Linked DNA regions of Astyanax mexicanus. The protein of the gene in region 1 interacts with the protein of each later gene in a pairwise test. Links are inferred from orthologs where the notes say so. Each region holds a gene or a part of one and is shown on either strand. Other genes may lie near its edges.

Region 1 (11,024 bases):
GGGGTAGAGCTTGCTGGAGGCGGGTCATTCGGCGCTGGTTTGGGTTCTGGGCCGCCTTTCACGCCTCCGCCACCAGAGGCTGCTCTGTTGTAGATCTGAGGAGGGGCGCTGTACTCAGAAGGTTTGGGCTGGCCCGGGTTCGGGTTTGGGGTGTTGGGTCGAGGTTTGGGGCCCGAAGCCTGGTTTCGAGGATGCACTGGCGGACCGGGATATGGAGGTTCCTGGGTAAATTTGAGAAGACAACATTTATTCTTTTTTATTTAAATGTTTTACTGAGCACTGTTTAAATATCAATGACTTTTTAATACTAAATATATGAACAAGAATAAATGTAATTAACGTGGGCAGAGATGAATATATCATTTATTTTTATTTTTAGGGGTGGTACTGTGATTTATCTTTGCATTTTAGGTGACTATACTACTATACTATTTCTGAATAATTCATTATGCAATAAGTTGTAACTGTGTTACTGAACAGGATAAAATACCAGTAATAATATATTTATTGGTGCCAGTTTTAAAGAATTTAACAACCAATATTCTTCAGTGCAGGTTTACCCTATTCATTTCATTAGCGCCATCATGTGGAGTAATAAAGAAGTAACTTTTGTAAGTCAAATTGAGGGGGAAGTCTTAAAGAGTTTAGAGTGCCTATGTTTCAATAAAGGATCATTGATATTTGATGACACCTGTTTGAACTTTTTTGAAATGTATGGCAGGCCTGAAATGCAGGGATAGATGTATATTAACAAAGCAAACTGAGTTGAGCAAACAATACATGGAATCTCTTTGGTTAATATAGTTTGCAATTAAATAATTGTAAAAGTAAGAAACTCTCCATTTTAAGTTATTTTTGTGCATTTTCCTCCCTCACTGTATTAACTTTTACTGATTTGCAGTTGACTTTCTTTTAAGTATCAGAGTGTAAAGCTTTACAATAGGAGAGCTGAGTTCTATTACATAACCAGCTTTAGGACACTACAGTGTCACTGAGGGTCAGATGGACTGTGCTTTCTTTAAGCTGGAGTTCCTTTAAGCTATTCCTGTGTGTGTGCGCGTGTGTGTGTGTGAGAGAGAAACAGAAGGACTTGAAAGGCTTGAAAGACTGTGTACTGAACTCTCTGCTTGAGTACAGCACCTCATCTGACCTAAGATATCTTTGGCTAGCCCACACGTTTAGATGTGTAGAACATGTGTGTTGGAGTTTATGGTCTTGAGGAAAGCATGCAATTAGGCCTAACTGTGGTGATACACGTATTGAAGTGATGATTGTACCTTTATTTATGAATTGACTATATTTTTCTGACTTAAAACAGTTTTAAGTGACCACTGCTTGCACCTATATTTGGTAACCGAAGCAGTAACATGTTCAATAGTTATTTAACCCTGTTTAGCAAAGTTATACTCTTCCTCCTTTTAATGAAGATGATATTTCGAAACACAACATTCATCACTTTATCATTTCTAGAAACCCTCAGTCTGACCAAAAACAGAAAAATAGAAATAGAGGTGACAAATCATTTGTGTTTTATCCTTTCCCTGATTAAATAAAACAACATATCAATAAAACATATAACATCTGTAAAAAACTAAGGTAAACAACACAGTGCATGCAACAAGATTAAAATCTTTGTTCATCTTATTTCATACAGCAGTAAAAAAAATGGTAGCAACACCCTTGGAAGCAATCTGTGATGCCATAACTCCACCCTTCGAAACAACTACTGAGCATCACCTTAGCAACCACCTACTATACAAAACAACAAAACAGCTTTGAAACAAACTAGCCTAAAGATACTACTGTAAAGCAACAAGAATAGAAGCTAAACATAAAAATCATGGTTGCTCACAAAAAAGCACCAGAGACACAAACACACAAGTAAACATACATTCCAATACTACAGTTCCATTCTGTGGTTCAGAAAATTCACATTTGTGAGCCTGATTTTAGTCAGTTTGACACACAGACCAGAACTGAACCTAAACCCACTCTTTGCTGACCATCAATGCTATAAAATGACGAGTTAATGTACAGACAGCTTGGATACCTTATGTTCATATGGAGGTGGCGCAGGCCCCTGCCAGGGTGGAGGATGTGGAGGTCGGACGTGGTTAGCATGGTTAGCGTATGGCCCGTGAGCTGGCTGGGTGCCAGGCTGCCACTGCTGTTGAGGCTGTGTTGGCCCATATCCGCCTGAATGGGGCCAGGCTTCAGGCTGGGGCCTTGAGTGCATGGCCTGCTGGGTGGGATACCCAGGGTTGGAGGGGCATCCATCTCCATAGTGTGGGTACGAATTAGGGGGATATCCAGGACCCTGCAAGAACAGTGAACAAGAACAGAGGCTGTACTATTAAACCTTAAAAACGTATGTGTTTAGCTGGCCAGTCATATCAAAAGCTGTGACCTTTACTATACGATATAACGAATGATACCACTAAAAACATGAGCAAACATAAAAGGTTAAATAGTGGATCATCACCTACCCCTTGGCAATGCGGTACAGCATAGGGAGGCTGAGTAGAATTCCCCGCGGGCCGATCAGCGCAGCCCTGATTATGATACTGAGGTGGTTGCCGTGGAGGAATCTGCTCACTGCAGTAGAACGGATTGGATGGGTGCATCATATTGGCTGAGTACTGTCCTGGATTGTACACCCCATTGGGATAGCCTGACATTGCCTGAAATAAAGGCACAGCAGTTTGATTTTCATAAAAAGTATATATACCAAACACCTTTAATACTCTAATATAATTAGTATTACTCTAATACAATTAATCTACTATGAATCTGCAGTCTGTGTAATTTTAACAGTATGAAGGCAATAATTGTAGCATGATTTTATGTCAGTATTAATCAGTGCATTAGTCAGTGTATTTTTTTTTATCCAGTGTGAATCTGCAAAAAAACTTTAAGCACTGTGTTAAGACAAGAAGGAAGATGTGGTACTGTACCTGGGGATTGTACGGTGCTTGTCCATTGACCTCTGCTCCAGAGGGGTATGTGTTACTATACGGTCCAGCAGTATGCGAATGAGGGTACCAGTAGTTTGGTGGATAGCCACAATATGGATTAGAGTCCTGCCGTAAAGCAGAAATTACATGATGTTAGTCCTATAGTAGTTGTCACCACTATATTAGTGGTTCACCATATGGCTGAATTGAAGAAATAATACAAATTATTTTGTAACATTACTTTTACATTAACTGTACATATGTTTATCCTTCTCTAGCCCATATTATAAGCTGCCTCTTGTTTTCTCCTCAATGTTGGTACATCATTAAGGCTGATGCCACTACTTGCATGGCAATTTCCCATATTCTGCGAATTTTCCTTTGTTTGTTATGATGTTATTTTTGTTCCTGCTATCTCTTTTCCCTGTTTTTTGCTTTTAAACCCTGGCTATTATTCTTTCACAGCAGGATGATTCTGCATGACAGCATGGGACTGTTCAGCCTTTAAGGACTTATGGACACCACTTTCATCAGTACTAATATTTAGCATGTGTTCTGCAGTTACTCAGATTTTTATAATACATGACCTGTTTTTACAATAAGCACAAATTGAAATAATAAAGTACTATTTGACCACTCATTCTGCAGTCACTTTTGGACCCAGATCTCTGCAGAGCTGCTCTATGACAACATTTGCTGTAAAGAATTGAAATTTATTTTAAGTGTGACTGTTTTAATCAATTAAAAAACAACGAAGCCGACATAGTAAAGGTTTCTTTATGCTAACTGTATAGAAATAAAAATAGGTATCAGATCTGAAAGGCATTATTTCAGTACAGAACAGAAGCACTCAGGAAGCTTTGGTTCTCCAACACTGAAGATAAGGTGCACTTAGGTTACAACTTTACCAGTAGTGTAGGGATACATTTGGTAAATTCTGACAGTATTATATCGCTGCTATGCAGAAAATGGGATAATTTAGGATATCCAACTTTTATTAACAACCCAAACACACTAGCAAACCTAGCTATAGCTAACTGCTTGTATAAAGGCCACCTAATTTTACGCAATAAGTCCTGTTTCTCTAGATAACCAACTTGCTGACCAAAGCCAGCAATGGCCGGTCTGATAACTTATTCAACTAAACTACAAACTTAGGCAATAAAACGAACATCTCTCTGCAAAGTAAATCAGGGTTGTATATTTATGTGAGCTAGCTAACTACATAGAAAACACACTAGGTTAACATGTCAACGCTACTACAGTTTAAGTGAAGGTTAGTAACTGAAGTGCTGGCAATAGCTGGTAAGAGATGCTATGCTAAAGCTAATTGAATAGGACGGCACAGTTTGCTCAAAGTCAGCTGCGTAAACTTTTACACAAAGTGAATTAAAACCGTGTATTATTAAGATGCATTTGTATTAAATGTAAATAAAACGTTAAGCTGCTTCTGTATGAATGATACACTGGTGTCAAACACAGCTTAGCTTAGCGTAGTTTAGCTTAGCTTAGCTTAGCCTAGCCTAGCCCCGGTTCTTACCATCGCTCCGCTCCAGCTGCTCTCCGGGTTGTACCCGGGGCTCCAGCCCGCTTTCGGCTGCTGCATGTGCCGCTGCTGTTGCAGTAGCCACGCCGCCTCCCCGCTTCTCTCCGCTCCGGCTGAGTCGTAGGCCATCCACTGCTAACAGCACGTTATTGGTATTAATATGATTATTTTTATTATTACTAATTCATTAACCCATCATTCTCGCCATCGTGTCGGGTGTAGCTGCAGTGTGACTGAATCTGCGCGGTGCTGTAGCCTGACCTGAGCAATTAAATATTTATTTAAATCTTATAACGTATTCATATATATATTTTTTATGGCAAAAATTATTGTAAAAGCGCGTTACTGATATCCTTCTTTAGCTCTACAGTTCAATTAATTAAACATATTCACGCATAACAGCAAAGTGCTGCTGACTGTCACAGAAAAAAGCAAGCAGCCAATCACAAATAGGGACAGGAATATCTAGCCAATCACAATGTGCACAAAAACGAGCTAGCCAATCACAAGCTGGGTTACAATGTACGTTGCTTTATATGTATTTTAATCAATCGAATCGAAGCATTAAAAATATAATATAACTCTTTGCTTTTGAAAAAATTAATTGGATAAAATATTGTAAAATATATTTTCTGCATAAATAATACAAATCCCAAGGATAAATGACATACTTAAAATTATATATTTGTTATTCCGTGATATTTCGAGATATGTTTAGATGTTAAGATGTTTCTGTGCCTTGTCAGGGGTACAAAATGTATTTATAAATTTGAAATACAAAATATATTGATACTCTTTTTTTTTAGAGAGTTCTATATTATAAAGTAAACGATATCTTATTTTATGTATGATTATGATTTTGTAAAATCAAAATTAGTTTGTTTATTTTTTATCTGTAACTATAATTTCTGTCATAAGCTCTGATTCAACATTTAATTGTTAAAGTTACTGTATTTTGACAACCTTGTTCTTGAGACGGTAGCTTCCAAATCAGTTGGAGTGAAGCAAAATGTAAAATACAGCTAAAGGATTAAACAGAAATAGATCACAAACATAGTAAATGAACATAAATAAATAAATAAATAACAGTTACAAAGGAAATAACAGATAAAATCTCTAATAAATAAATACGTGGGAAGAAAGCACTACAAAATAAAAGCATAATAATTAAAATAATTATTAAGCTTATAGATAAATGATAAAAAAAAATGCATGGTGCGTTTAAATTAACATTACATATAAATAAAACTGCAAAAAAAATCTCAAAAACGAATATAAAACATATCTTTTGTAAAAAGATTTGTTTTATAAAATGCGAGTGGGCCCTTTAAAGGGGTGAGCGTGCCCCGGAAGCTGTGCTATAAGAGCGCTGCTGCTGTAGTTAGTTTGGGTGCCAGGAGGTTTGATATCACACTGTCTCTAGGTTTTTTGTGCTTTAAACTCCCCGCATGTCTGCAGGATGAATTACATGCCAGGCACCGCCAGCCTCATTGAGGACATCGACAGTAAGTTAAAAGCTCCGCTGGGCTTTACTACCCAGCCTAAAGCCGCTGGAACTCCAAATAGCTGCGTTGTAATTGGAATTGTTCGGTCCACCTTAAATGGTGCAGTGATTATATTCTGAGTCCAGCTAGCACAGTAATGTACCTGCTGCCCTATTTAAGGTGGAGTGGAAATTTAAAGCAATTAGCTATCTTAAACTTTCTTACTGCTAAAGATAATCTAAGTGTGTTTAATCTTGCGTTTCTGACCACGAACTGTGTACAATTTATACATATTGTATTTTTTTTCTCTACACCTCATTCCTCCCAAGATGAACCTGGAGGTGGTCTTCAGGGTTTGGGCCATTAGATAGCTAGCTAGATCGCTAACAACTACAACCACTTAAGTACTTGCAAATTAAACCTTTATAGACTTGCTAAAATGCTAAAAGTTAAATATAACACAGCTGGAGCTGGCGAACATTGAACTAGCTCTTTATGAATTCTTAGGATGACATAACAAATCCAAGGAAGGCTGTTTTGTGTGACTTATTTTGCCAGTTTTGTTGTTGCATGAAACTGTATAAATGTCTTTTAAGCAAATAAGCTTTCTGTCTGTCTGATCTGTTTTTGTTTTTCTTCCAGAAAAGCACCTTGTTCTGCTCAGAGATGGGAGAACACTGATTGGGATCCTCAGAAGTATAGATCAGTTTGGTAAGTAGATCCAGTGTTCAGTGAAGTAAAATAACAGATCCAAGTGAACCACTCAGTATGATCAGTATAATATATTTATATGTACACCAGTGTTTCCCACTGAACTGACACCCATTAAAATGAGCTTACTAAAGTTCCTCAGAGTTGGATTAAGAGGCGTTAGGTGTGCTTGGCAGTAGTTGGACATCGTTTAAGTTGTTCCATGCTTCACTTTTATTCGATGCCCTTTCACAATGAAGTGGTAACCTGCCTTTAGCATGGATGCACTGATCTATATTATATGGTACATCTATTTTAAAACTGCTTGAGGGTGCATAGAATATAAAGCCATGGTGCTAACTACCGAATAACAAATGATCTCACTGCATTAGCAGCACGGTCAGTATTTGAAGTTTATTTGCATCAGTATTGTTCTGCCCATCCTTGTCAGTTGTATGTTATTCATTAACAGGTTGTTAATATTTGATCTCTGTTCTCTTTAACAGCAAATTTAGTTTTGCATCAAACAGTGGAACGTATCCACGTTGGTAAGAAGTTTGGAGACATACCCCGAGGGATCTTTGTTGTCAGAGGAGAAAATGTTGTCTTACTTGGAGAAGTAGTAAGTTTACACAGTTTTTGTTTATTTTTCTTTCTGGAAATGTTTCCATTAAAATAAGATTAAGCAAAATGAGTCATGGTATTAAACATAAGCCTTGTTTGTTGTTGCTAGGATTGACAGGCTTTAGAGAATGCTGGGGAAATATCAGTCAACCTAATGAAGGGCTATAGTGTGAATAGTACCTTGGTGTGTAACACAGTACCTGCATTAAGGGCCAAATACCTGGCCAAGGATTAATTCTAGTCATGGACTCAATGGAAATTTAAAATGTAAAAGGTAAATAAGAGAAACTTGTTAATGTTAAATATTAACACCCTGCTGTGGGAAATTTGGGAATTATTTTGGTACCAGGGGTTGAGCTTACCTTTAACCTTTTAATACGGTGGACTGACCAAATCAGTGTGGCTGCATTGTGCGCACTTTTTTTTTTTTTTTTTTCCCCACAACTATGATCTGGGTGCAATAAACATGATGTAGAATAATACTATTTTATTGGACGGGTAAGGAGGAGAGCTGAGATGTGTTATGAATGAGGGGAATTTAAGAAGCATGTTTTATTGGAATTTAACCTACACTCTCCTGTTTGGATTTGTTTATTGTCTGCTCTGTAGGACCTAGATAAAGAATGTGATCAGATCCTTCAGAGAGTTTCCATTGAGGAAATTCTGGAGGAGCAGCGGGTGGAGCAGCAGGCAAAGCAGGAGTCTGAGAAGCGGAAACTACAGGCAGTAAAGGAGCGAGGCTTGTCCATCCCTAAAGCAGACACATTGGATGATTTCTGAGACGCCTTTAGGTTAATTTTTTTTGCTTGTTTTGTTTTCAGTTTTAGTGAGTATTACACACGTGACCTTCAATGAATGCATCACAGAAGACTGTGATCATGACCGTTTTTGTTTTTATGTAAGTCATGCTCTGCGTGACCATTACCATCTTTTCCTTTACGGCCGATGGTGCCGTATTGAAACTGAAGATGGACCAAACGGAAGCACTTGGCCTGCTGGCTTTTATTTTGAACTTTGTAGAGAAGAATAATGGAACCTTAAACTCAGTGTTTGTGTCGTTGAGGTGATGTTATGGTGGCGTTTATGTTGGTATGCTATGTTAAATCACGCTAAACAGCACTGAAGATATTTTTGTTCTATTAAACCTATTTTGTACTGAATAATATTGAGTGGTTTCCTTTGTGCGACAAATGATTTGTGAAATGCAGTCTGTTCTTGCCTGATTGCATTTTATTAACCACCTTTCCAGTTCTTTACTTACCTTAAGGGGAGCCAGTTTACATGAAAACAAAATATATAAAACTAACCTTTTCTATAATTGTATGATGTTGGGTTGAGAATATTTTAAGAGAAGCATTCAATTCCACACTTATGTTGTGACTTTTCAAGTACTTCTCCAGCGTTACTTGCTAGCTTGCAGTGTCTGTGTAATTCCCTCATTTGCCTTATGGTGTCGCCAAATACTGAAAACAAGTTATGTTTTAGAGAAATGTACCAAACTTAATCTTGTTCACAGTGGTGGTGAATGAAATCGTATCAAACTAGTTTACTGGCTTTAAATGCCCCATCACAAATACATTATGCAGATACACCTAAACAAAACCAAAACAGACTTTGGGACTGTTAAGGATACATAGTGATAAACAACACGGTCTTAAAATGTTCTCTGGAAGTGCTACCACCAGCATCTACTTGTGGTGTTCAGTAAAATGAAATACTGTGTTATGGCAGTGAAAGCAGCAACTTTCTACCTGAAGAGTTGTGTGTGTGATTTTTGTAGCACATGGTGTTTTAATTTTACAGAGGGCATGCAGGTTTTGGGGTCCCAAAGTCTGAGAGATTTTCTTTTAAAATAAGTAATGCTAAAGCTATTAAAATAAAAAGCTGTATCAGACCTAATAGTAAGGTGCAACATTTAGAACAGTGAAGGGGAGAACGTGGCAAACTAATAGCAAAGCTACTAGTGGTGCAAAAAATATATACTGTGAATTTAAAAACAAAATAAATGCTACCAGGCTGCTACAAACAAGAAAAAACAAGATGCAGCCTGTGCCAGTAAAGGAAACAGTGATGCTAAATATAAATTAACACTACTTGGCAGCTTGACTGTGTCAATAGTCCAAATTTAAATTGACACATAGCTAAACACATTCTTACATTATAATCTCTCAATTTTAATATAACAAATTGCTCTGTTTATTTTATTTGGCTACAATAAATTATTTGGCTACAATTAAATATATTTTACGTTTCTATTTAAAATATTAAAAGCAACTGTTTTAAACAATTACTTTCTATTGTGGTGTTTATTAATTCAGTGTTGTAGTACTCAACATTTCTTAACCATTTCAGGCCCTGCATCCATTACAACAGACATCATGTATTTTCTTTATTTCTAAATGTTTTGTTGCACACACAACTATTTGAGAGCTGTTGTTCATTAGAATAGACCATGAACCAGCCAATGAACAAGTTTATAAACCAATGAAACAGTAACTTGGCCCCGCCCACTGCACTGGAAAAAAAATGTAAAACTAGAGCCATTGAGGCAAAGTAACAGTTAAGTTTTTCTTTAATTACGCTATTTTTTATTTTTTTAAACTTTTTTTTTACTGTTTAGGAGTGGTTTATTACATACAAGGTCAATATGAAACAAAATATTAACAAAGGCCTACAATGCAATGGAAATAAAAAATAAACTGATTAAATATTTTAGTTCACTGGATTTATTTGCTGTATAAATTTCATAGTAAAATTTTAGAGTCTTCTTTTCTGTGCATTACAGACAGAAATAGCATTCTTACATTTCTTTCCACCACTGGAGCCAATTTAGGTCTGAACGGGTTAACAGGCCGTTCAGTTAAATCGAACTACAAATTCTGTCTCGTGATGGCGTCATGCACGCCCATCCCACCAATCCGCAACGACATGTACGCTGGGGTTTGTAGTTTTTTACATTTCAATCTGTCCCGTTAAAACGGCATTGTAAAACGTCTTGGTATCGTACTGTTATCGTAGCTTAAGCGCGTCCAATGTTGTTAAACGACGGCATGGCAAAAACACGAGCTTATATCGACATTAAAACGTGATACAAAATGTCCCTATGGCGGAACAGTTGAAGTTGTTAAAGGTAACCAGCAGGGGGTGCAGTTCTGCGCTTCGCTTTTTATTATTATTATTATTCCCTCCTCCCCATAGCGGGACTGAATGCGGAGAACATGGCAACCGCTCCACATGCCCTAACCCCGCTGTAGGCCCACACACACACACACACACACACACACACACATTCACACTCACTTACACACACACCGACGGCTGGCAGCTTTCATTCGTATGTTCGGACTGGTGTGTGCCACTTTATTATTCGCTCGGGGAGCCGCGGGGAATGCTGCATGTGAGAAGCGGAGCGAGTGAGCCGCGCGTTGGTGAGGCACCGCCGGGAGAGGGAGCACGCCTGCAGCCGGGGGGCAGCGTTCCGAGGCCGGTCAGCCAGGCTGGGATCCACCGCGGGGGCCGGAGCTAGCTTTCTAGCTATTTTCCTCCTTCTTCTTCTTCATCATCATCATCCTCCTCTTTTTTTCTTCCTCCCTGGCATGCATCATCATCATCATCATCATCACCCTCCTCATCACCAGGAGAGGATGTAAAGCTCATCCTTGTTGCTTCCTCTTCCACGCACAACAAAACCTACAGCACATTTCTCCCCCGTTTTAATGGGACTTT
Region 2 (10,340 bases), on another chromosome or scaffold:
ATAACTCACATTTGGGATGCTCAAAATGGTATCGAGGAGAAAAAAAACTATAATTGTTCTTTAGATTTATTTATTTATTTATTTTTTACTAAAGAAAGGAGATAAAGACATAAAAACAGAGTTAGCACATAAAATCAGGCTTTAACAATGCATCTAAAAATCCCAAATATGACTGGAGACATGCTTAAAAAAGGTCATGTAAGTCTAAAATGCCCAGAAAGTAAACGTTTATTCGATGACCATACAAGTTTTTTTTTATTTCTGTACCCTATTTATTTCTATAACTATGCTGATTATTATCAGTGGACTTTTTGGCGGTCTGTTTGGAATGGGCCACAGTTCTTTAGACAGATTCATGGATTATTACTGCAGCCATGGTGACAAATTGACTAAAAAATGGGGTATACTATAATCAGACCCCTTTGAAAAAATAGATATGACTGGAAATGCATGCTTAAATGGCTATTTTTTTTTTACTTTAAAGTAAAAATCCATTCAAGGATTTTTAACATTTCTGGACATAAAACTGCAGAAATCAGAAAACTACAAAAAAAAAGCAAGGTTATACTAAAATCAGGCGTTTAAAATGCATCTAAAATCCCAAACGTGCAAATTTAAACATTCTCAGCTTCATGTTGTCAGACAGGTTCTATTATCAAAGTGATTTGATGATTCTACAGGTCTGTCAGTAATCAGGTCTGGTTGTGGTTAGTAGTGAAATTGAACTCAGTTTTCCAAAAAGTGTGATTAATCACAGTCACTTTAATAGGCATTGGATTGTTTTTGCCCTTTATTAAATTAAATCATCATTTAAAAAGTGCTTTTTATATTTACTCAGGTTATATTTGACTGATATTAAAGTTTGTTTGATAATCAGAAAATGTAATTATGCAAAAAGAAAAGAAATTTGGAAGGGGCTAAACACAGCACTTTTTTACAGCACTGTAGATTCCATGGCACTTTAGGTGGTTTCCGGTTAAGAGTGTGCTGTGTGCAATTGGCTGCTGTTTCTTGTCATGGTTTGATGGTTGACTGCTGAGTGTAAATTACTGTGTAGATGTCTGTGTTGCAAAGCAGTGATTAGGTGTTTAGAAAGACGCTACAAAAGTGGGACTTCATCGTCATCTATAAACATCAGTGTGCAGCAATTACAGTTTGCAGTGTTAACTCTGCAACGACTTCCAGAGTTTTGTTAAAGCACAGTGTGACTTGTTAACCCTTGTGTGGTGTTCGGGTCTGTGGGTCCCGTTTTCATTTTTCATCAAATGATACTAAAAAAATATTTTTTCTAACTCAAACTCATTGGCATTGTCTAATTTTTGGTGAAAAACATATATCAAAACACATTTTCCATAAACACACACTGTACACCCCCCCCCCCCCACACACACATTTATATTACATACAGTATGTTTGGCCAAGGGCTAATAAACTTTGCTTCATTTGTAAATTTGAAACTAAACAAATTTTCTACTCATATCTTGAGTTTAATTCATGTTCTTTTACATTTTATTAAAAAACTAATAAAAAAAGAGTAGCACTTTTTAAAAGAAATGTAACATAAGAAAGGTAAAGGGCAAATATTAACCATGTAAGCTGTTTATATTGCTTGCAATTTAGGTGAAGCGAGCATGTGTAAAGCATTTTAATGTAGAATTGCTTAATTTTGCTGAATTAAATACAAGAAACAAAGTAAACGAGTAACAAAAATATGAACACCACACAAGGGTTAAAGTGAGACAATAATAAAGTAATGTAACCCTTGCTACTAACACTGTAAAGAGAAAAAATGAGAAACTGTAAACTTTAATCACCCCCATCACTATTGCACTATTGTCTTCTGTCTCACGTATGTCTATCTGTGTCCCTGTTGTATTGTGCATATAGTGTCCTCCATTCTTTTTATATTTATAATCTTATTTTCTGTACTTCTGTACTAATTTTTGGGAAGGGGGGTAACGTAATTGTAATTCTCTGTATGTCCTGTACATATGCAGTTTTGACAATAAAACTATTTGACTTGACTTGACAGAGATTAGAGTCAGATTTATATTGAGAGGTGGTTAACTGTATGAGCTATCTAAGAAATAAATTGATTACAGAGAGAAAGAGAGAAATATAAAGTCCCTTCCCAGAACTATTAGAACAGTGAGGCCAATCCCTTTATTTCTGCTGTGGACTGAAAACATTTGAATTTGACATTAAAAGATGGATATAAGACAAGAGATCAACATTTCAGTTTTTATTCTAGTAGGATAGCACCTTAATAAACAGCCAGGAACAAAAAAAGTACACAGTTTCACTTGGTCTACCTGTTTGGTATCTGTTATTTAGTACACCAGTGATGACTTTCTTCTTCAAGTCATTCCAAACAGTTGTTACAAGCCATGGCCAATAAAGATAAAAACTAAAAGGTTTTTTTTTTGTTAATCTTTTTTAATGTCAAATTGAAATATTTTCAGTCTACAGCAGAAATAATTAAATTAACCTCACTGTTCCAATACTTTGGAAGGGACTATAAATGTAAAGTTCATTAAAAATTGTGGATGAAAAAATATCCAAAGCAAACATATTGTTTGGAAAAATCTGTAGAAATGGCAGAAATCAGAAGCTCTGGGAATGAAATTTCATATCATTATCTACACATTGTATTTTACTAGTAAAAAGGTCCAAATTGAGACGTACAACTCCAACAATTTCAGATATTTACACAATTTTGCATTTCATGGCAGCTGTTATGCTATTTTTTAATCTGATGTTACTAAAAATATTTGTGTTTAAAATTGTGTGTTCAATTCCATCAGCAGCACACCTAATTTACCCTCATTAAGCTCTGTTTTACCAAACCAGCTGCTGATATGATCTGAACTATAGACAATACTTGACTCCATTATGGGATTTATTTTAATGAAGTGTAAAATCAATACTTTTTGTTCATTGTATTTGTATTTTTTAATATTACTGTTTATCTAAGTAAATTAACACTTACTACCCAGATTCATTATAATTTTGATTAATTAAATTCTCTGATTTTGCTATTTATAGGTTTATGTTTGAGTAAAATGAACATTGTTGTTTTATTCTATAAACTACAGACAACAGACAACAAATATTTAAGTCATTTAGAGCATTTATTTGCAGAGCTTTCAGACCTCAAATAATGCAAAGAAAACAAGTTCATATTCATAAAGTTTTAAGAGTTCAGAAATCAATATTTAGTGGAATAACCCTGGTGCTTTTTAATCACAGTTTTTGTTTTTATGCATCTTGGCATCATGTTCTCCTCCACCAGTCTTACACACTGCTTTTGGATACTTTTATGCTGCTTTACTCCTGGTGCAAAAATTCAAGCAGTTCAGTTTGGTGGTTTGATGGCTTGTGATCATCCATCTTCCTCTTGATTATATTCCAGAGGTTTTTAATTTGGTAAATCAAAGAAACTCATCATTTTTAAGTGCTCTCTTATTTTTGTTCTGAGCTGTGTTAATCAAGTGTTTTTAAGCAATTTACAGAACTTTGGCTGGAATGTTGGATTTCAATAGGGCTGTTCAGTAGATAGTCCATTTACTTTTTTTTAAACAGTGCACACACATTCACACGTGTTTTGCATATTGATTGCTGTTCTACTCTTATTTTCTTACACCTACTTGAGGCAAATAGGGGCATTATTATCACATTATCATTTTGATAGGTTTGCAATACACATGCATTGAAATACAAATGAGGGAAAGCAAAAACACAAACCCCGAAGATCGGAATACATGATAGTTTGGACAAACCTCTTCTCATTCAATGTGTTTTCTTTCTTTTTATGATTTTTTACATTGTAAATTTAATATTAAAGACTATATTAAAACTCTACAGGAACACATGCTGAATTATTTTCAATAATAAACCAGAAAATGTTTTATATTTTAGATTCTTCTAACATTATTCTTTGAGGACAGATCTGCAGACTCTTGGTGAGATTTTAATCTCAGTGTCTTCATGATTTAGAGTCACCTGGAATAGTTTTCTCAGCGTCTTGAAGGAAGGAGTTTCTGGAGGTGCTGAACAATAGTTGCTGCTTTTCCTTCATGCTGTGAAGCTCCAGCTCATCCCAATTAATCATCTCAAATCACCATCTCAGTTCATCAGGTTTAGATCAGGGGATTAATGTGGTGGAATAACACTTTTTTACTGTTTACTACATAATACCATATATGTCCCTTAATGTAGAAAATAAATAAAGTGAATAAACAAATAAAGAAGGTGTGTCCATATTATTGCCGTTATTCACCTGTCAGACATTTAATTCTTCTCTTCCCTGCTAACACTCAGACTTAGTCCAATCATGTTAATCTAAGCTAAAGGCTAAAGCTGTTTCCATGTGGGTCAGCCAGACGTCTTCCTGTAGCAGTTACAAACAAAAAGCTTTTATTACTACTAGAAGAAGCAAAAAGTAGAGTGTTAACAATAAACTGACTATAAAGAAATTTATACCCACCACTACCAGTCTGATTACTGAACATCTGATCTCAGAAACACTACAACAGTAAAACATGAACATGGTGTTAAATTAAAAAGCAGTAACTGCAAATAGAAGTAAAACACCTTTTCATTCCCCCATCCAATCGATTTATGAAATTGTATGGTAATTATGTTGATTCAACGTTAAAACATTGTTATATCAACATAATGTTGAAACATTGAAACAATAACAGACACATATATACCACAGGTAATTATGTGTAAATATATATTTACTAATATATGTATATATATATATATATATATATATATATATATATATATATATATATACATATATTAGTAAATATATATTTACACATAATTACCTGTGGTATATATGTGTCTGTTATTGTTTCATATATATATATATATATATATATATATATATATATATATATATATATACATGTATTAGTAAAAATGTTTCCTTCAGTTTTAGCTCATTGTTTTCCCTAAAAGCCCAGTTTAGTGACAAATGTTGTACACTGTATTTTGTACCATTTCATAACTGTACCTAATGAGCTTAAATGACAAAAAATAGGGAAATATATGTATATATGTAATGTGTATTTGCATATATGTATATACACACTACTGGTCAAGAGGTTTACAACTTCCACATTTTTTCCATTTTTATTTGTGTGTGGCTGGTTGCCTACTGTCAGCAATTAATAGGAGGTTTGTCGTTTATTGTTACATTACTCCATGTTTGTAACATCAATCTACAATGTGGAGAATATATTAATAAATTAAACAAAGACATAAAAATGACTTGGGGAAAAATAATGTGGCTTTTTTACTAAAGAAAAACATACTTTTGCTATGTGGGTATATAAATGGGTATATAAATATCCTTGAAAAGCTGCTTTATTTCAGTAATTCAGTTCAAAATGTAAAACTCGTATATTATATAGATGTATTACACACACAGAGTGATCTATTTTAAGCAGTTATTTGTTTTATTGTTGATGATGATGGCTTACAGCCAATGAAAATGCAAAAATCAGTGTCTAAGAAATTTGAATATTATATAAGACCAATTAGGGAGTGGGAGTGTGCCAAGTCCTGCTGGAAAAGAAAATCTCCTAATCTCTGCATCTCCATAAAAGTTGTCACTGCACTGACTTGGGACGAACTTGATAATAAAACACGGTGGACCAACACCAGCTGATGACATGGCTTTCCAAACCATCACTGACTGTGGAAACTTGTGGAAAACTGCCTCTCCTCTCTTCCTCCAGACTCTGCTCCCTTGATTTTTTCCAAATTAAATTCCAGTAAAATTTACTGATGATCAGTGATGGTTTGGAGAGACATGTCATCTGCTGGTGTTGATCCACTGTGTTTTATTATCAAGTCTAAAGTCAGTGCAGTTTTGTTTTCCCACAAAATCTTACAGCACTTCATGCTTCCCTCTGCTACTGACATGGAGATGCGAATTTCGTTTTCCAGCAGGACTTGGCACACTGGTCATGTTACGTAAATATTCACATTTTGAATTAAATTAGTGAAATAAAGTAACTTTTGAATGATGTTCAACTTTTTTGAGATGCACTAGTATAAGTGAGTGTGTATAAGTGTTAGTGCTCCACGCTGCTGCTGGTGTTTATTCGTGAGTCCCGCCACTTGCTGATATTGGCCAGTCAGCGGCGCGCGAGAGCGGGCCTGTGCGCATGCGCGTTTATTGTTTTGACTGAAAATGCCGTCGGTTTCGAAAACGGCGGCGAGCGCTTCTCCACAAACCGAGAAACCGACCCACTATACGTGAGTACCGCGGGGCTGCCTGGGCGGGAATGGGGTTCCGGGGCCGGGGGGCTTGTGCAGATCCCCCGGCCGTGCGGAGGGGCTGTGAGCGCGGGGTTTATCCGCTCCTCAGCGCTGTTAAACATGGGGCTTTAGGAGATTCCTCCAGTACACGCAGCTCCGCCGCGGGGAGGGAAAACAGCGCGCCGTGTTATTAAACACGGGCTCTCCGCCTTTAACCGCGGGTTTATCTGCTGATTTAAAGCCTGAAACGCGCTGCGAGCTGCGGGTTAAAGCCTGAGCCTGGCCGCGGAGACCCGGGCTCACTGTTCAGGCTGCAGAAGACACGCAGAGACACAGAGCGCCAGGCGGCAGCCAGCCCTCCTTCCTCCGCCTCGGCCTGAATAGCTGCCACTACGCTGCTTGCGTAGCGTAGCGCCCGGTTGGCTGAGTAGGGTAGGCGTCGGAGATCGTGCGTAAGTGCTGTCGGTAATCGCGGCGCTTGGCGTAAGCTGGAGCTACAGTTTGTTTTGTTATTCAGCTGCTCGTGTTGAGTTGTTTGGAGAGCGTGGGCTATTCTGAGTTAATTTTGCTACTTAAATCCAGTTAAATGAGTTAAACGAGTTAACTGCTCGCTGTTTATGAGTTTTATAAGTTGTTTAGCCATAACTAACATGTTTCTGCATATTATGAAGGATTGTGGTCGTGATTTTGTTATTCAGCTGCTTGTGTTGTTGTTCAAATAGTTTGGACAGGTCTGAGTTTATGTCTCTAGTTAAATGAGTTAAACGAGTTAACTAGTTGCTGTTTTTAAGTTGTTTTAGTTGTGTGAGTTGTGAGTTATTTCTGCACCTTTGAAGGGGTTTCAACCAGCGTGCGTTTGTTTTGTTATTCAGCTGCTTATAGACTCGACGAGTTTGAGTTATGCATCTAGTTAAATGAGTTAAAAGACTTAACTGTTCGATATTTATTAGTTGTTTGAGTTGATAATGACCATAACAAACCTACTTCTGCATATTTTTTTTTTAACCAACGTGCGTTTGTTTGGTTGTTCAGGTGCTCATAGTCTGGGATTGTTTGAGTTTATGCATGTAATTAAGTGAGTTAAATGAGTTAACTGGTCGCTGTAAATGAGTTGTATGAGTTGTTAATTGCCATACCTGACCTATTCCTGCACATTTGGAAGGATTTTGAACCAGTGTTCGTTTGTTTTGTTTTTCAGCTATTCATAGTCTGGACTAGTTTGAGTTATGCATCTAGTTAAATGAGTTAAAAGACTTAACTGTTCGATATTTATTAGTTGTTTGAGTTGATAATGACCATAACAAACCTACTTCTGCATATTTTTTTTTTAACCAACGTGCGTTTGTTTGGTTGTTCAGGTGCTCATAGTCTGGGATTGTTTGAGTTTATGCATGTAATTAAGTGAGTTAAATGAGTTAACTGGTCGCTGTAAATGAGTTGTATGAGTTGTTAATTGCCATACCTGACCTATTCCTGCACATTTGGAAGGATTTTGAACCAGTGTTCGTTTGTTTTGTTTTTCAGCTATTCATAGTCTGGACTAGTTTGAGTTTATGCATCTAGTTAAATTAGTTAAACTAGTTAACTAATTGCTGTTTGAGTTTTATTATTTGTGTATGGCCATAACTAACTTAACCTATTTCTGATCCAGATTTTGTTATTCAGCTGCTAGTTAAACGAGGTAACTTGTCCTGTTTGAGTTATTTATTGCCATAACTGACCTATTTCTGCATATTGGATAGAGTTTTAAGCCAGCATGCGTTTGTTCAGCTGCTCATAGTCTAGACTAGTTTGAGTTATGTATCCATAACCTACCTATTTTTGCATATTCTAAAGGATATTGATCCAGATTTTGTTATTCACATGCTTATGTTGAGTTGTTTGAATAGTCTGGATTAGACTGAGTTTATGTCTCTAGTTAAACGAGTTAACTAGTTGTTGTGTGTGAGTTTTTTAATTTATTTCCATAACTAACCTATTTCTGCACATTTTAAAGCGTTTTAAATCAGTGTGCATTTGTTTTGGTATTTATCTGCTCATAGTCTGGACTAGTTTGAGGTTAGGCATCTAGTTAAATGAGTTAAACGAGTCAAGAAGCCACTATTTTTGAGTTAAAGGAGTTTTGCATGGCCATAATAACCTATGTCTACATACTTGGAAAGATTGTGATTTTGATACCAGTGTCCAGGTTTAAATGTTGTTTTCTATTCAGCTGCTCATGTTAGTTAAATAGTCTGGACTAGTTTGAGTTTGTGTATCCAGTTAAACGAGTTAAAAAAGTGAACTAGTCACTGTTTCAGTTTGTGAATTTTACGAGTTGCATATAAATAAATATAAATAAATAAATAAATGGATAATTAGCTGGGTAGCTAAATAAGTAAACAAATGGATAAGTAATTCACTAGGTGTCTAAATAACTAAATAAATAACTAAATAAAACAAATAAGTAAGTAGATAGATAATTTGCTACTTATCTAGCTACTTCTTTATTTATTTATTTAGCTAGCTAAATAAATAAATAAAGAAGTAGCTAGATAAGTAGCTAGCTAGCTGAATGAAAATAAAATATGGATAATTAGCTGGCCAAGTATTATTAGCTAGCTAAATAAATGGACCATTAGCTAGCCTAATAAATAGATGGAATATTAGCTAGCTAAATAAATAAATAGATAGATAATCATCTAGATAGCTTAATAAATAAAACAATTTATATTTAGCTTACTAGCTAAATAAAAATAAATGGATAAGTAGATAAATAAATTATCTAGCTACTGTATATCAATACATGTTTTGATGTTGTGTAGTTTAACCCTCTGACTGTTTCCTCTATTGGCAGATATTTGAAGGAATTCAGGACCGAGCAGTGCCCGCTGTTTCTGCAGCACAAATGCACGCAGCATAGACCCTTTACCTGCTTTCACTGGCATTTCCTCAACCAGCGGAGACGGAGACCCATCAGGAGGCGAGATGGGACGTTCAACTACAGCCCGGACGTGTACTGCACCAAATACGATGAAACCACGGGCATATGTCCTGATGGAGACGAGTGAGTCACTTTAAATCGCTTTATTATTATTATTATTGTTCTAGCTACTTTATATACAGAGATACCTGTATATAGACTGTGTCAGTTAAATACTCAGTCAGCAGTGATGCTGACTGGCCACCAATTGAGAGTTTATCTATGCACAGTCAGTGAGGTACCACATAACTATCTACTCATATGAGTATTGGTGCACTTGTTGCACACATGTATGCATGCATTCATACATATGCGCAACAAGTGCACCAATACTAATACAGTAGCTAGTTTCGTGGTACAATGTGCATGCAGAAATTGGTTTGTACATATGTGCACTTGTTGCACATATGTATGAATGCATGCACATTTTTGTGCACTTCAAATGTTTTAAGCTATGCATGTGCAAGATGTGCCAATATCTTTAGCTTTTTCATTATTTAAAATATTCCCTGCACCAACAAAGTGCATCCGTACTATAAGTAATGTAAAAAAAAAAGAATTCAACGTTGAGCTGTTACCATCTTTTGTAGACTGGAAATGTTTTAAAGCCGCAGTTGCACGCGTAATGCAAGTAAAATTAGATTTGCTTGCTGGATTTTTTTTAAAGCTGTGCATGCACCTGTGGTATTTTATTTTATTTTTAAATCTTTGCCTTTTAGTCGTTCAAATAATTCCGAACCAACAAAAGAGCATCATTTCTGTAACTCATGCGAACATAGCACTGGCAACACATCCTTATATTTTGCAAATCTGCAGGTTTTATATGCACACATGCAGGGAATTTATTATTTATTTATTTAATTTTTTTTTTTTTGTCACTTAAAAAGATTCTTGCACAAACTGATGCAAAAAAGTGTACTGGAAATGTTATAAAGCCATAATAAAGTACCAACAAAGCGACAAATTCTTTAACTAAAGCTAAATATTAATATATTAAAAGCATGCAATGAAAATCAATCAATCAACCTTTATTTTCACTCATAATACATTAAGGGAGACTGAGCAGTGCAGTTTAGCATTTACAGTATAAAAGGGATTA

The links.
Region 2: the proteins of bag4 (region 1) and unkl interact in binary tests that used the Homo sapiens proteins (3 or more experiments, as listed by UniProt). The link is inferred for Astyanax mexicanus from reciprocal best matches to the Homo sapiens genes BAG4 and UNKL.

What each region holds. Positions count from the first base shown.
Region 1 is NC_064419.1:32,065,100-32,076,123, reverse strand, and holds the start of bag4 (BAG family molecular chaperone regulator 4), read right to left. Parts: upstream 4,996-11,024; 5' UTR 4,630-4,995; coding exon 4,495-4,629; intron 3,081-4,494; coding exon 2,955-3,080; intron 2,682-2,954; coding exon 2,487-2,681; intron 2,318-2,486; coding exon 2,051-2,317; intron 222-2,050; coding exon 1-221. Other genes in the region: U6 snRNA-associated Sm-like protein LSm1, read left to right, coding at 5,960-6,005, 6,627-6,695, 7,181-7,296, 7,908-8,078. UniProt on the Homo sapiens protein: Inhibits the chaperone activity of HSP70/HSC70 by promoting substrate release. Prevents constitutive TNFRSF1A signaling. Negative regulator of PRKN translocation to damaged mitochondria.
Region 2 is NC_064410.1:59,945,095-59,955,434, forward strand, and holds the start of unkl (putative E3 ubiquitin-protein ligase UNKL), read left to right. Parts: upstream 1-6,174; 5' UTR 6,175-6,211; coding exon 6,212-6,276; intron 6,277-9,115; coding exon 9,116-9,325; intron 9,326-10,340. UniProt on the Homo sapiens protein: May participate in a protein complex showing an E3 ligase activity regulated by RAC1. Ubiquitination is directed towards itself and possibly other substrates, such as SMARCD2/BAF60b. Intrinsic E3 ligase activity has not been proven.